3 linked regions of the Cricetulus griseus genome follow. The main gene of each other region encodes a partner of the protein of the gene in region 3 in a complex. Links are inferred from orthologs where the notes say so. Each region holds a gene or a part of one and is shown on either strand. Other genes may lie near its edges.

Region 1 (4,291 bases), on a different chromosome or scaffold from region 3:
CCTTGGGCTACCTCAGCAAGCAGAGCAAACACCCTTTGAATTGCCTGCCTCTCCTGACCCCTTGCCACTAACTGGCTTGTGGTTATCAGCCAGGTGGTGGTGGCGCACGCCTTTAATCACAGCACTCGGGAAGCAGAGGCAGGCGGATCTTTTTGAGTTCGAGACCAACCTAGTCTTATGAGAGTTAGTTCCAGGCAAGCCTCCAAAACCACAGAAAAACCTTGTCTTGAGAAACAAAAAACAAAACAAAACAAAAACCAAAATAAAACAAAAAAACCCCTCAGCTTTCAAAAGGAAAAAAGACAGACCACAAAAACAAACAAAAAACTACAATTTTAGAGAGGGACACCAGAAGTGGAAGGAAAAATAGGGCATACAAGCAGTTGGCTCACTTCCTGTGGGGGAGGGGGGCTGCAGCTAATTTCAAAGTTTTCTGTGGTCAAAGAATGTGGTCTTAGATCATCTGTCTATAGGTAGACTAGCAAAGTCCAATTTTTGGTAACAAAAAAGCTCAGGTTTGGACAATGGGAGTTAATGATTCAAGTTTAGTATTGGTATATGTTCTAAGGGCACAGTCAGCAGTACCAGCAATTCTACAGTGCATCCCCTAGTCCATGCTCTCTCCATTTAACTTAGCTATTATTCTTAAATCTCAAGACTGGAGCCCTATAGGAAGAATAGCAAAGAAAAAACAGCAGTACTTACATTAACAAAATCTCCACCCTGAATCATGAAATCCTTTATGACCCTGAAACAGAGTAAAAACAAAACAAACAAAAAATTCCCGAGGGAAGGATTCAGTGGTTTGGTCACCAACATAGCAGCTTAGTAATTTTTTCTGAAGTACAATGTTTATCACCGTGGCTTAGAGACTGAGTCTTCACCCCTGGAGTTGAGCAAGATGAGGGATTACGAACCATAACTTGTTTTAAGCTCCAGGGGCATCTTTGTGTTGATCTAAGGTATATGAGTGAGCACCTGAACAACAGAAAAGGGCTGAAACCTGTCAGGAAGAAATAACATATTTACAAAAAAAAAAAAAAAAAAAAAAAAAAAAAAAAGTCAAGGGCTTAATGAAAATCTGGGGGGAAAGAAAGAACAACAGCAAATATATGTGAAATGGACTGCCACACACACACAGGGTAATGTAAGCTGTTATATACCCAGGCATAGTCCTTTCTTAGCCCCAGTTTCCTTCCTTAAAGAAGGCAGATTACACATACTACCTCACAAGGATGCTGGGAAGGATTAAAGACCATAATTCTAAAGCCCCTGATATGGATGACACAAAAATTTCAGGATTAAAGTGGAACAACTTCTGTCAAACCCTAACAAAAATTGGTAAACACAGAAAGCAAGGCATTCAAGAAGGTCAGGTTCCTGCAGATGACTGCCTGATAATAGTAATTATTACCAAAGCCTCTACCTGGAACCAGGGGGATGGTTCAGTGGGTAAAGTCCTTGTTAATGAGGCATGAGGACCTGAGTTCAGATCCCTAGAACCCACATAAAAGCTGGGTATAGAAGCCTATGGAACTGCACCTGCACCCAACTGATAGTGTTTTCCTTGCCATCATTTCTACATCTAGGATGACTTACGGTGCCTGTGGTGCTGAGTATTGAACCCAGGGTCTCAGGTATGCTGGGAAAATTCTCTACCACCAAGCTACATCCTCAGCCCTGGACATGACACTTTAAACAACAAACCTAATCTACCATAGGTGTACTCAGGTGTTCAGGATTGCCTGCACAGATACCAAGTGATGACTGCATTAACAGTTTGCCAAAAGCCTTACCTATGGAAGGTGCTTCCTTTGTATCCTATTGGAACACCATCTTTTCTGTAACCAAAAAGAAAGACTTGGAGTGATGACAAATAACCATGGGTCCTTTCCGTTTGGGACACACTGGAGGCTAAAAGGACTCTCAGAAAGATTTGGATAGAAGCAAGCTAAAGAACGCATCGATAAAGAAGACACCCTCTGAATATCATCTTCCACCACTCAAGACTTGCCCATGGTTCCCCAATACCCTCACCAAACCTCCAGGACACCCTTCAGGAGTAGGAGGAATAGAGGTCAAACACATCTGAGACTGACCTGAACTCTCCAGTGCAGAATTGCCTAAAAGGAAAGAAACAATGAACAGTTACCATGCCATCGCTGCCCGGAGCATCTCTAATATCGGGAGATGAGGGTACAAACAGTGGGGCCAGCAAGTCCACTAACTGGTCGGCCGGATGTCAGGGCATGCAGCCATGTAAACTAATATCACAAATTGACACAGGAACGGTCAAACCCGGTAGCTATTCGGCCAGTGCAATAATACACAGAGCACAGAGCACAAGGCAGTGGACGGATGGACAGAGGCAGACATTGCAAAGAGCGCCCCGAGGCCGGCTTCGGGCTCAGCCACGCTGATTCAGTGGAGCATCTCCTCACCTGAAGTTCTCTGCCGTCTTAGGCACCACGTCTGCAAACAGCTCGATCTTCATGCGACCAACCTCCTGCAAGTGACGGGAGACGCAAGAAGGCTCAGTCCACGACCGCAGCCCACGCAGCTCGGAAGCGCCCACCTCGGCCGCCCTGGCCCAGCCAGTCTCGGCTGCCTCCCTCACCCGTGTCCTGCCCAGCCGCGCAGGTCCGCCGGGCCTCCCGCACCTCACCTGGCCGCCGATGCTGACATCAAAGAAGACCACCGGATTGACTGGACTTGAATTTGCCACCGCCATGGCTCTGACCCGGAAGTAGAAGTCCAGTTTCCGGGGACCGGCCTTGCTGAATTCAGCCAAAGCACAGGGGCCGTGGAAACCGACCGGGGTTGGGCCCCGCCCCCGGAAGCGCGGCGCGGACCGCCGGGAAGGCGGACACTGGTGTTGTAGAGCGGGTCGGTTCTGAGGGAAGGCGGGGATGAGGGGAGAAGGCGCAGAAGCGAGGGAGTGCAGGCATCTTCGCCGAAGGCGGCGGGCTCCCTACTCGCGTGACTGTACTAGTGCAGTACAAATGAGTGACCGGCAGACAGCATTTGCTGAGCCGTCACACTGGGTGTCCCCTGCCCCCGAGGCGGCACCCACGAGGGGAGAACCCTCAGAATCACCCTCCGTGTTGTAAAATGTTACGTAGGCTGGCTCATTCGGGATCCTGGAAATGTGATTTCATTTCTGTCGCAAGCTTCCAACTCATTTCCCACAGAGTTGCAGTTTAAGAAACAACCTTTGTGCTTGTAAATCGTGTGTGGGGGATTTGCATATTTAACGTAAATCCAGCTGTGTATACGAAGGCCCGAATGCCATTTATTTGCCACCGCTGGTAGCGAAGACCTGAAAGTAGAGACCTCACACTACCTAGCCTCATCTCCTGCCTACCACTCTTTACCCTTTCTGGCTCGGTTGTGGAGACGTTAGATTGCTACGTCCTTTAAGGCCTTGATTCGAGTTTTGTCTCTTCTAAAATATTTTTTTTTCACCTTAAATGTTTTTGAGACAGTCTTGCTGCTTATCAAGGGCTGGCTTTGAGCTCAACGATATTCCTACCTCAGCGTCCCAAATGCTGGGATTACCTACATGGTTTGCCATATCCTTTTGGAACTGGCGTTGAACAGATGGTTCAGGAGGATCAGGGCATCCCAGCACCCATGCGACAAACTGGGTATCCTGCATGTTATTCTTTTGTTTAAAAAGAAGAAAAGAGAAATATTGAGACAGACATATTGACTATAAGTTTATTATAAGGCCCGGTAGAATGGGGAGACTAAGAAGAGGAACAGGGTAATGGCTGACCGCCATGGCCGGTCGCCATAGAGAGAGAGAGCGGGGAAACAGAGAAACGGGGAGAGAGAGACAGACAGAGCGTAAAGGTGCAGGGGCCTATCTTTTAAAGGGGTCCTCTGCACCTGCGTGCAGACTTCTTTCCCATGGAACCTTGGGCTGACCAGGGTATTGCCTGAGTGGATTCCACCAGGTAATGGGCAGGCCAGCATAATGCCTGACCCTTTCATTCCCACCTCTACTTATTATTAAAAAAGCTGTAATCTCAGCTTCAAGGAGGGTGGAGACAGGATGTTCACGGGCTAGCTGAGAAAATGTGAACCCCCAGGTTCAGGGGAGAGCCTCTGCCTCAAAGTAATAGATGGTAAATGATAGAGGAAGATACTTGATGTCCTCTTCTGGCATCAGCGCTTGCACACACACACACACACACACACACACACACACACACACACACACCTCACAAATATTAATCCTAAAAACTACAGAGATTGAGGAAGGTTTTCAGTATGGAGTCCTCACAGG
Region 2 (3,969 bases), on a different chromosome or scaffold from region 3:
TCCAGGGCAGCCTGGTCACAAACTGAGGTCTAGGACAGCCAGAGATACACAATAAACAAACACCCTCACTTGGCCACTTTAAAGGGACAACATGAAAGAACGTGGCAAGAAGCACCATTTTCAAGACAGAAAGGCTAAAAAGGAGAAAAGTTTGAATGAATTGTTCACTGCTGAGTTTGGAGAATTTTCTACAACATTTTTACCATATTCTGTATCTCAAATCTACTGATTTGTTTGTATGGTAATGGGAATTAAACCTTGGATCTCTGACATGTCAGGCTAAGTACTCCACTGCTGAGATATGTTCCCAAGACTTTTCCTCATCCTCTCTGTATCACTGACCTGTTAATGGTATCCAGGTATGGGCAGTGACGACTCCTCCGGTCCTCAGAATCCACTCGGCCATTCTTTGCTGAGAAGAAATCCATCACAGACTTTAAAATGGAAAACTTGTGCTGGGATGTAACTCAGTGATAGAGCACTTAATTAGTAAGGGCAGGATTTGCTCTTACACAGCATCATAAATGGAGGACAGCAGACTACTCAAATCACAAGTACATTTTGTTTTGTTTGTTGCTATTTCCCATGGATATTTCCCATGGAAATGGGAAAATCTGATCAACTAAGATTAAGATGAGCTTTTAATTTTCTTGTAGTGACAACATTCCAAAAAAACTGCAAACTGAGATTAGATCTATTACACACATAACCAACAAGAGATTAATTCACATATTACATAATCTAAGCAAGTGAAGACTGCTTAGTAAAGGTATTTGCCACCAAATCTAATTACTAGAGTGCATGGGAGCAAGAGAGAAGAACTGACTCCCACAAATTGCCCTGTAACCTCCACATGTACACCATAGTACATGCACACGTATATATAAATAAATGTACTACACCTTTTTTTTTTCACCATGTGTGGTGGTGCACACACTACTAATCCTAGCCCTTGAGAGGGAAAGACAGGAGAAATCTGTGAGTTCAAGATCTACAGAGAAAGTTCCAGGCCAGCCAACACTACTTATTAAAACCCTGTAAATAGCCAGGCGGTATAGCTTCTATCGTCTTTAATCCCAGCACTCAGGAGGCAAAGGCAGGCAAGATCTTTGTGAGTTCCAGGCCAGCATGGTCTACAGAGAAGTTGCAGGACAGGCTCCAAAGCTACACAGAGAAACCCTTTGTCGAAAAACAAAGCAAATAGACCCTATAAATAAATAAATAAATAAATAAATAAATAAATAGGGGCTGAAGATATGGTTCAGGGGTTAAGAGCACTGACTGTTCTTCCAGAGGTTCTGAGTTCAATTCCCAGCAACCACATTGGTGGCTCACAGCCATCTGTAATGTGATCTGGTGTCCTCTTCTGGCATGTACTGTATACATGATAAATAAATAAATAAATAAATCTTTAAATAAATATCTAATGAGGTGCTGGGTAGTGGTGGCTCATGCCTTTAATGCCAGCACTCAGGAGGCAAAGGCAGGTGATCTCTGTGAGTCCAGAGGCCAGCCTGGTCTACAAGCTAGTTCCAGGACAGCCAAGGCTACACAAAGAAACCCTGTCTCAAAACAAACAAAAACAAAACATAACCCAATATATCACAAGTATTAAGATAAGTTGAACATCTTAAATCTACCATTTGTCTAAGAATTGTGATGGTTCTGAGAGTTAATCCTACTAGCAAGCTGATTTGTTAGCTTGCCACAGCTTCATGATCACTGATGGAAGGCATGTGATATCACTGACTAAAACCAAGAGTCTATTAAAGCAATAACAATAGCCAATGACATGACATCTTCACCAGTTCCTGGATTCAAGTCACACAAGAGAATAGAAAGAGCCAGTGCTCAAACTGGGTTGCCTTATTAAAAAACCCTGCCCTTAAAGAAGGGTATCCTATCTGCTTGTGAGTTTACGTCCCTTTAGCTCTATTATGGAATAATAATACAATCTGTCTCCCAAGGGTAGTCACTATATCAACATCCTTGACAAAACAATACAGAACCCCTACAACAACCTCCTGCAAAACCCAGGAGAAGCAGAATTGTCTCCAAACTACTGAACTAATAGTCAGTACTTTAATCGGGTGCAGAGAGATCCCGGCTGAACGAGCTTATTCCAGATATTACAACAGGACCCTGCATCTTAGGAATTTTGCAAAAACTGTAGAGGGGAATACCTGTAACGCTATCAGCAGAGCACCTAACTCACGTGGGCTATTCGACAAAGGGGAGCCGTGATGTATCGTGACAACGGTTAATATTAGAACTGTCTTCACCTGAAGACAGTCCAGTCTGGATTCAACCTTGGACAGGGAAGCGTAAGAAGCAAGGGAAAGTAAAAAGCAGGCGAAAACTGGCAGGAGGTGAAGGCGAGAGGAAGGTTATCTCTGGCTACAACAGCAAGTTCCTGAGACCCTGTCTCAAAAAAAGAAAGAAAAGGGAGAAAAGAAGAAAGCAGGCGAGGGTGGAGGGCGCACCCGGCCCGGCCCCGCGCACCTCGCACCTCCCGCTCGGGCTCCGAGTCCTCGTCGGCCTCGCGCTCCCGCTTCACCCTCACGGCCGGGGGCGCAGGCGCCGGGACCTCTCGCGCAGTCGGCTCGGCTTCCCGCTTCACGCGGACCGGACTGCCCCGAGAGCTCGCCGCCTCCGGCTCCCGCTCGCGGTCTCGCTCCTTCTTGATGCGACCCGAGCTACCCCGCGACTCGGACTCGCGCTTCCCGCGGGTGGAACCATGAGACTGCCGCTTAGACCGGCTAGACATCGCCGCCACCGGCTAGGAGCTTCCGCGCTGGCGCCGCGCACGCTGGAGGCACGCGGCCAATCAGGAACCGAGCTGGCCTCTGACGCGCAGCTCCCTACGAGTCGCTGAGAGGGACAATACAGACGGCTGGACCCTAATGGGCACTACTTGCCCAGTTGAGACAATTCTTTATCCATCATCTCTTCACAGATTAAAGAGATAGGAACCTTTCACAGGCTACAGTGATTGTAGAAGAAAGGAAGCTGGCATTCGACACAGTTTGTGTCTCGAAACGACAATCCAGAGAAGTCCTCTGATCCAGAGCTGATGACCTACACAGAAAAGAGAGTCAGTATTCCCAAATTTATCTCCTCCATTCAGGTTTGTACCTGGGAACTTCAATTAGTACCATATTTAGAGGGATCCTGAAATTAGAAAATTGCAAATACTCTGCCAAGGCTCACTTACTGTTTAGCTAATAAAACTCCAAATTCAGTTTTACCACTGAGGCATGCCTTAGTCCCTGCCTATTTGAACAGTTCCATTGAGGTATAATTGACATACAGAGTACCACATATTTGACGAGTGTAATTAGCTAAATTCTGAAGTGTGAACACTTGTGAATCCATTGCCATAATCAAGAGAAGAAACTTGTCTCACTCCAGAAATGTCCTTGTGCCCCTGTGGATTCCCACCCAAACCACTGGGTGACTGCATTTCCTAGAATTTTATACTCGAGAGTTATACAGTGTTAACTTTCTAACTTGGCCTCTTTTACACCTGACGTACAGACAATCTATTCCTTTACATTGCATTGCAATATTCCATCACACAGTTGTACTAGTACTAGTCTGTCACTGTTCTAATAATGAGTTCCTGATTTCCACATTTTGAAACAAGGACTTAAAAAAATATAGACTCAGGCTGAGGCAGAAAGATTCCCAAAGTTTAAGGCCAGCCTAAGCTACATAGTTAGGCTGAGACTATCCTGAGCTCCATAGCAGAAGGAAAGAAAGAAAGGAGAGATGGCTCAATATTATTAGACCCTCAAAAGCCTTGGCTCCTCCCATGGGCACAGTTAAGCAAGTGGTCTGGGCCGGGACAGTGAAGCCCCAATGTGGCTGGAATAGGGGCTGGGTATGGGTGGAGAAAACTTACCTACCTGAGCACTTGTCTGCCTCATTACCTATATGAGACAGGTGTTCTTAGTATGTCCACTTGAA
Region 3 (3,100 bases):
ACCAGGGAAGATCTGTGGGTTCCTGAGTCTCTGTGGTATCACCCCAGAAACTTGGGGTCTGCCCACAGCCATTCCCTCCCCCAGGTGGTAGAGATTGTGAAGAAGCTGGAGTCTCGCCAGCGTGGCTGGGAGGAGGAAGAGGACCCTGAGCGTAAGGGGGCCATTGTGTTCAATGCCACTTCTGAGTTTTGCCGCACGTTGGGGGAGATCCCTACCTATGGATTGGCTGGCAACCGGGAAGAGCAAGAGGAGCTTATGGTGGGTCCCACCGTTCCCCTGGCCTGCTGTCTTTAGGGTGGTGGCTTCTGGTCCAGTGCCCAGAGGGCTGGGGCTGCCCATCCTGACCCTGACTTCTGGTCTTAGGACTTTGAAAGAGATGAAGAGCGCTCGGCCAATGGTGGCTCTGAATCAGATGGGGAAGAGAACATTGGCTGGAGCACCGTCAACCTGGATGAAGAGAAGCAGCAACAGGATGTGAGCACTGACGGGTTGTGGTTGTGGGGACACAGGCTAGTTGTCCAGTGTCCCAGAGCCTCCACCCCATAGAAGGGGCACTAACCCTCCAGGAGCAAGCTGGGGAATCAATTAAAACTGGTCTCATAGCCTGGCACCTGGTAGGGATAGCCATTGGGTAGAAGAGATGGGGTAGCCTGCTCACACTTCCTTCTTCCTCCACCCCACATTTCCCTTCTCTAGTTCTCTGCTTCCTCTACCACCATCCTGGATGAGGAGCCCATCGTGAACAGAGGGCTGGCTGCTGCCCTGCTCCTGTGTCAGAACAAAGGTATGGGCCCAGGTTAGGAGCCTTGGCAGTCTGGGTGCTATAGCAAGGAAGGGCTGGGTGCGTACCTGTGGGTACAGCATGGTGTCCTTGGGTCTGCACTTCTGTCTCTTCCTCTCAGACTCAGCTTTGAGCAGATCTCCAGACCCTGAGCCTCTGATTGCCTTTCTCTGGTCCAGAGTCGTAGCACCTGTTCCTCTTCTGTGCCCTTAAGGCTCTGAGTCCTTCATGAAGAAGTGGCCTAAGTTAAATAAATACCCTGGGCCCCAGATCCCAGCTATCTCCTTGGGGAGGTACCCATCTCATGTCTGTTTCCTTGGTTTGTAAGCCAGACATGGCATGTTTACATACTGAGCAGGGCTCTGAAGGGTCCTTATCACCCATACAAAGCTGGGACCCTAGGCCTACTCTACTCAGTCTGTCTGAGGTGTGGGCCTCATGGGTAGTACAACTTCTCTGTCCTCAGGGCTGCTGGAGACCACAGTGCAAAAGGTGGCCCGGGTGAAGGCTCCCAATAAGTCACTGCCCTCAGCTGTGTACTGCATCGAGGATAAGATGTGAGTGTGGCAATGAGGGCAAGAAGCAGGGGGCAGATGTGAACACACCTGTGCATGAATCTGGGTTGCTGTGAACATGGACAGCTCACATTGAGCCCCTCTGCCTTGGTCTAGGGCCATCGATGATAAGTACAGCCGGCGGGAGGAGTACAGAGGCTTCACCCAGGACTTCAAGGAGAAGGATGGTTACAAGCCCGATGTTAAGATTGAGTATGTGGACGAGACAGGCAGGAAACTGACTCCCAAGGAGGTGAGCAGGGTGCTGTGAAGACAGAGCCAGGTCAAGGGTGACTAGGTCAGGATGCTGCTAAAGATACCCTCAAAGCAGAACAGCACTGCAGGGTCCTGACTGCCCACCAGTTGGGGCCTTGTGAGGTGACAGACCCCTGCTTCTATTGCTGACTAGTGGGCACAGCACAGCAGTTACAACAGGCTATCAGAAAGGCTTGATACCTGGGCTGTCTGCCATACCCAAAGTATCCATCCTTCTCTGACTCCCATCCCTACCATATATGCTGCTCCACATTTGCTGGGTTGAGCCCCAGCTCACGGAGGCAGGGCATACCCTGGGTTCCTAGCACCCAGGTTACATACAACCCATGCATGGTGCCCAGCTCTGGGTCCTTGTCCCATTCTCTTTCTAGCCCTGTGGAGCCTAATCCTGGGTTGGGTGAATCAGTGCTCCTGGTCACTGATACGAAGCTCCCAGTGGATGCTTGTGGCTCTGGTTAGGTCTAGCCTGGCATTTCTGATGCTCCCGACTCATGATCTATATCCTCAGGCCTTCCGGCAGCTGTCCCACCGCTTCCACGGGAAGGGTTCAGGCAAGATGAAGACTGAGCGGCGGATGAAGAAGCTGGATGAGGAGGCGGTGAGTCTGTGGAGGTGGGGGGTAGGATGGGGCTCTGTGTTTTATGCTGTTGTAGGATATACTGGTCCTTCTCATCTGTACTGATTTACTCTGGCCCCACAGCTCCTGAAAAAGATGAGCTCCAGTGATACGCCCCTGGGCACTGTGGCATTGCTCCAGGAGAAGCAGAAGGCCCAGAAGACGCCGTACATTGTGCTCAGCGGCAGCGGCAAGAGCATGAATGCGTGAGTAGGAGGCCTGGCTGTGGCTGGGGAGGGGCACTGCACCTCTCTCTCCAGTCTCACACCCCTCTGTGCTCTCTTCTCCCTGCAGGAACACCATCACCAAATGAAGCCACCTTCCTCCCTGTCCCTCCCAGATATATTAAATAAAGTCCCCTCCTTATTTTTTCCTTCCTGGTCATGCTCAGTCTAAGATCAAACCTAGGAAGCAAGGCAGGCTGGGTCTCATCTCAGTCCATGGTCAGTTCTGCAACCTGACAAGTTACTGAACCTCTTTTAGTTTCAGTATTGCCATTTGAGCTGTCAGAATACCTGTTTCACATGTGAGACTTCAGTGAGTTCATTCATATTCACTGATATATATATATATATATATATATATATATATATATATATATATATATATATATATATATATATATATATATGAGAAAGATGGGGCCAATCCTTGAGCCTGTGTGATTTGATGTCTACTAAGTTGAACAGAGGTGATGAGGGGGAAACAAGCGCATGCCCTCAAAGGACATTCCTCTTTAGTTGCTAACTCAGCTATAACAGAAACCCCTCCACCTAATGGTGTGGTCCCTGTCACATCTTGGCTGAATTGGTTTGCAGAGACTTGGTCACATGGGTGTTCACTACCCTGTAATTTCCCTGGTTGCACAGTTTT

What was found. Proteins that work in one complex are often made in the same cells at the same time.
Region 1: Sart1 (region 3) and Ppih share a complex: the UniProt entries of both Homo sapiens proteins name them as parts of the U4/U6-U5 tri-snRNP complex. The link is inferred for Cricetulus griseus from reciprocal best matches to the Homo sapiens genes SART1 and PPIH.
Region 2: Sart1 (region 3) and Usp39 share a complex: the UniProt entries of both Homo sapiens proteins name them as parts of the U4/U6-U5 tri-snRNP complex. The link is inferred for Cricetulus griseus from reciprocal best matches to the Homo sapiens genes SART1 and USP39.

The regions. Positions count from the first base shown.
Region 1 is NC_048595.1:32,848,177-32,852,467, reverse strand, and holds the start of Ppih (peptidyl-prolyl cis-trans isomerase H), read right to left. Parts: upstream 2,801-4,291; 5' UTR 2,732-2,800; coding exon 2,666-2,731; intron 2,507-2,665; coding exon 2,442-2,506; intron 2,124-2,441; coding exon 2,100-2,123; intron 1,842-2,099; coding exon 1,797-1,841; intron 749-1,796; coding exon 706-748; intron 1-705. UniProt on the Homo sapiens protein: PPIase that catalyzes the cis-trans isomerization of proline imidic peptide bonds in oligopeptides and may therefore assist protein folding. Participates in pre-mRNA splicing.
Region 2 is NC_048601.1:64,076,363-64,080,331, forward strand, and holds the start of Usp39 (U4/U6.U5 tri-snRNP-associated protein 2), read right to left. Parts: upstream 2,801-3,969; 5' UTR 2,768-2,800; coding exon 2,503-2,767; intron 413-2,502; coding exon 343-412; intron 1-342.
Region 3 is NC_048596.1:53,953,164-53,956,263, forward strand, and holds the end of Sart1 (U4/U6.U5 tri-snRNP-associated protein 1), read left to right. Parts: intron 1-84; coding exon 85-258; intron 259-363; coding exon 364-474; intron 475-696; coding exon 697-784; intron 785-1,247; coding exon 1,248-1,338; intron 1,339-1,452; coding exon 1,453-1,588; intron 1,589-2,119; coding exon 2,120-2,209; intron 2,210-2,311; coding exon 2,312-2,433; intron 2,434-2,521; coding exon 2,522-2,540; 3' UTR 2,541-2,600; downstream 2,601-3,100. UniProt on the Homo sapiens protein: Plays a role in mRNA splicing as a component of the U4/U6-U5 tri-snRNP, one of the building blocks of the spliceosome. May also bind to DNA.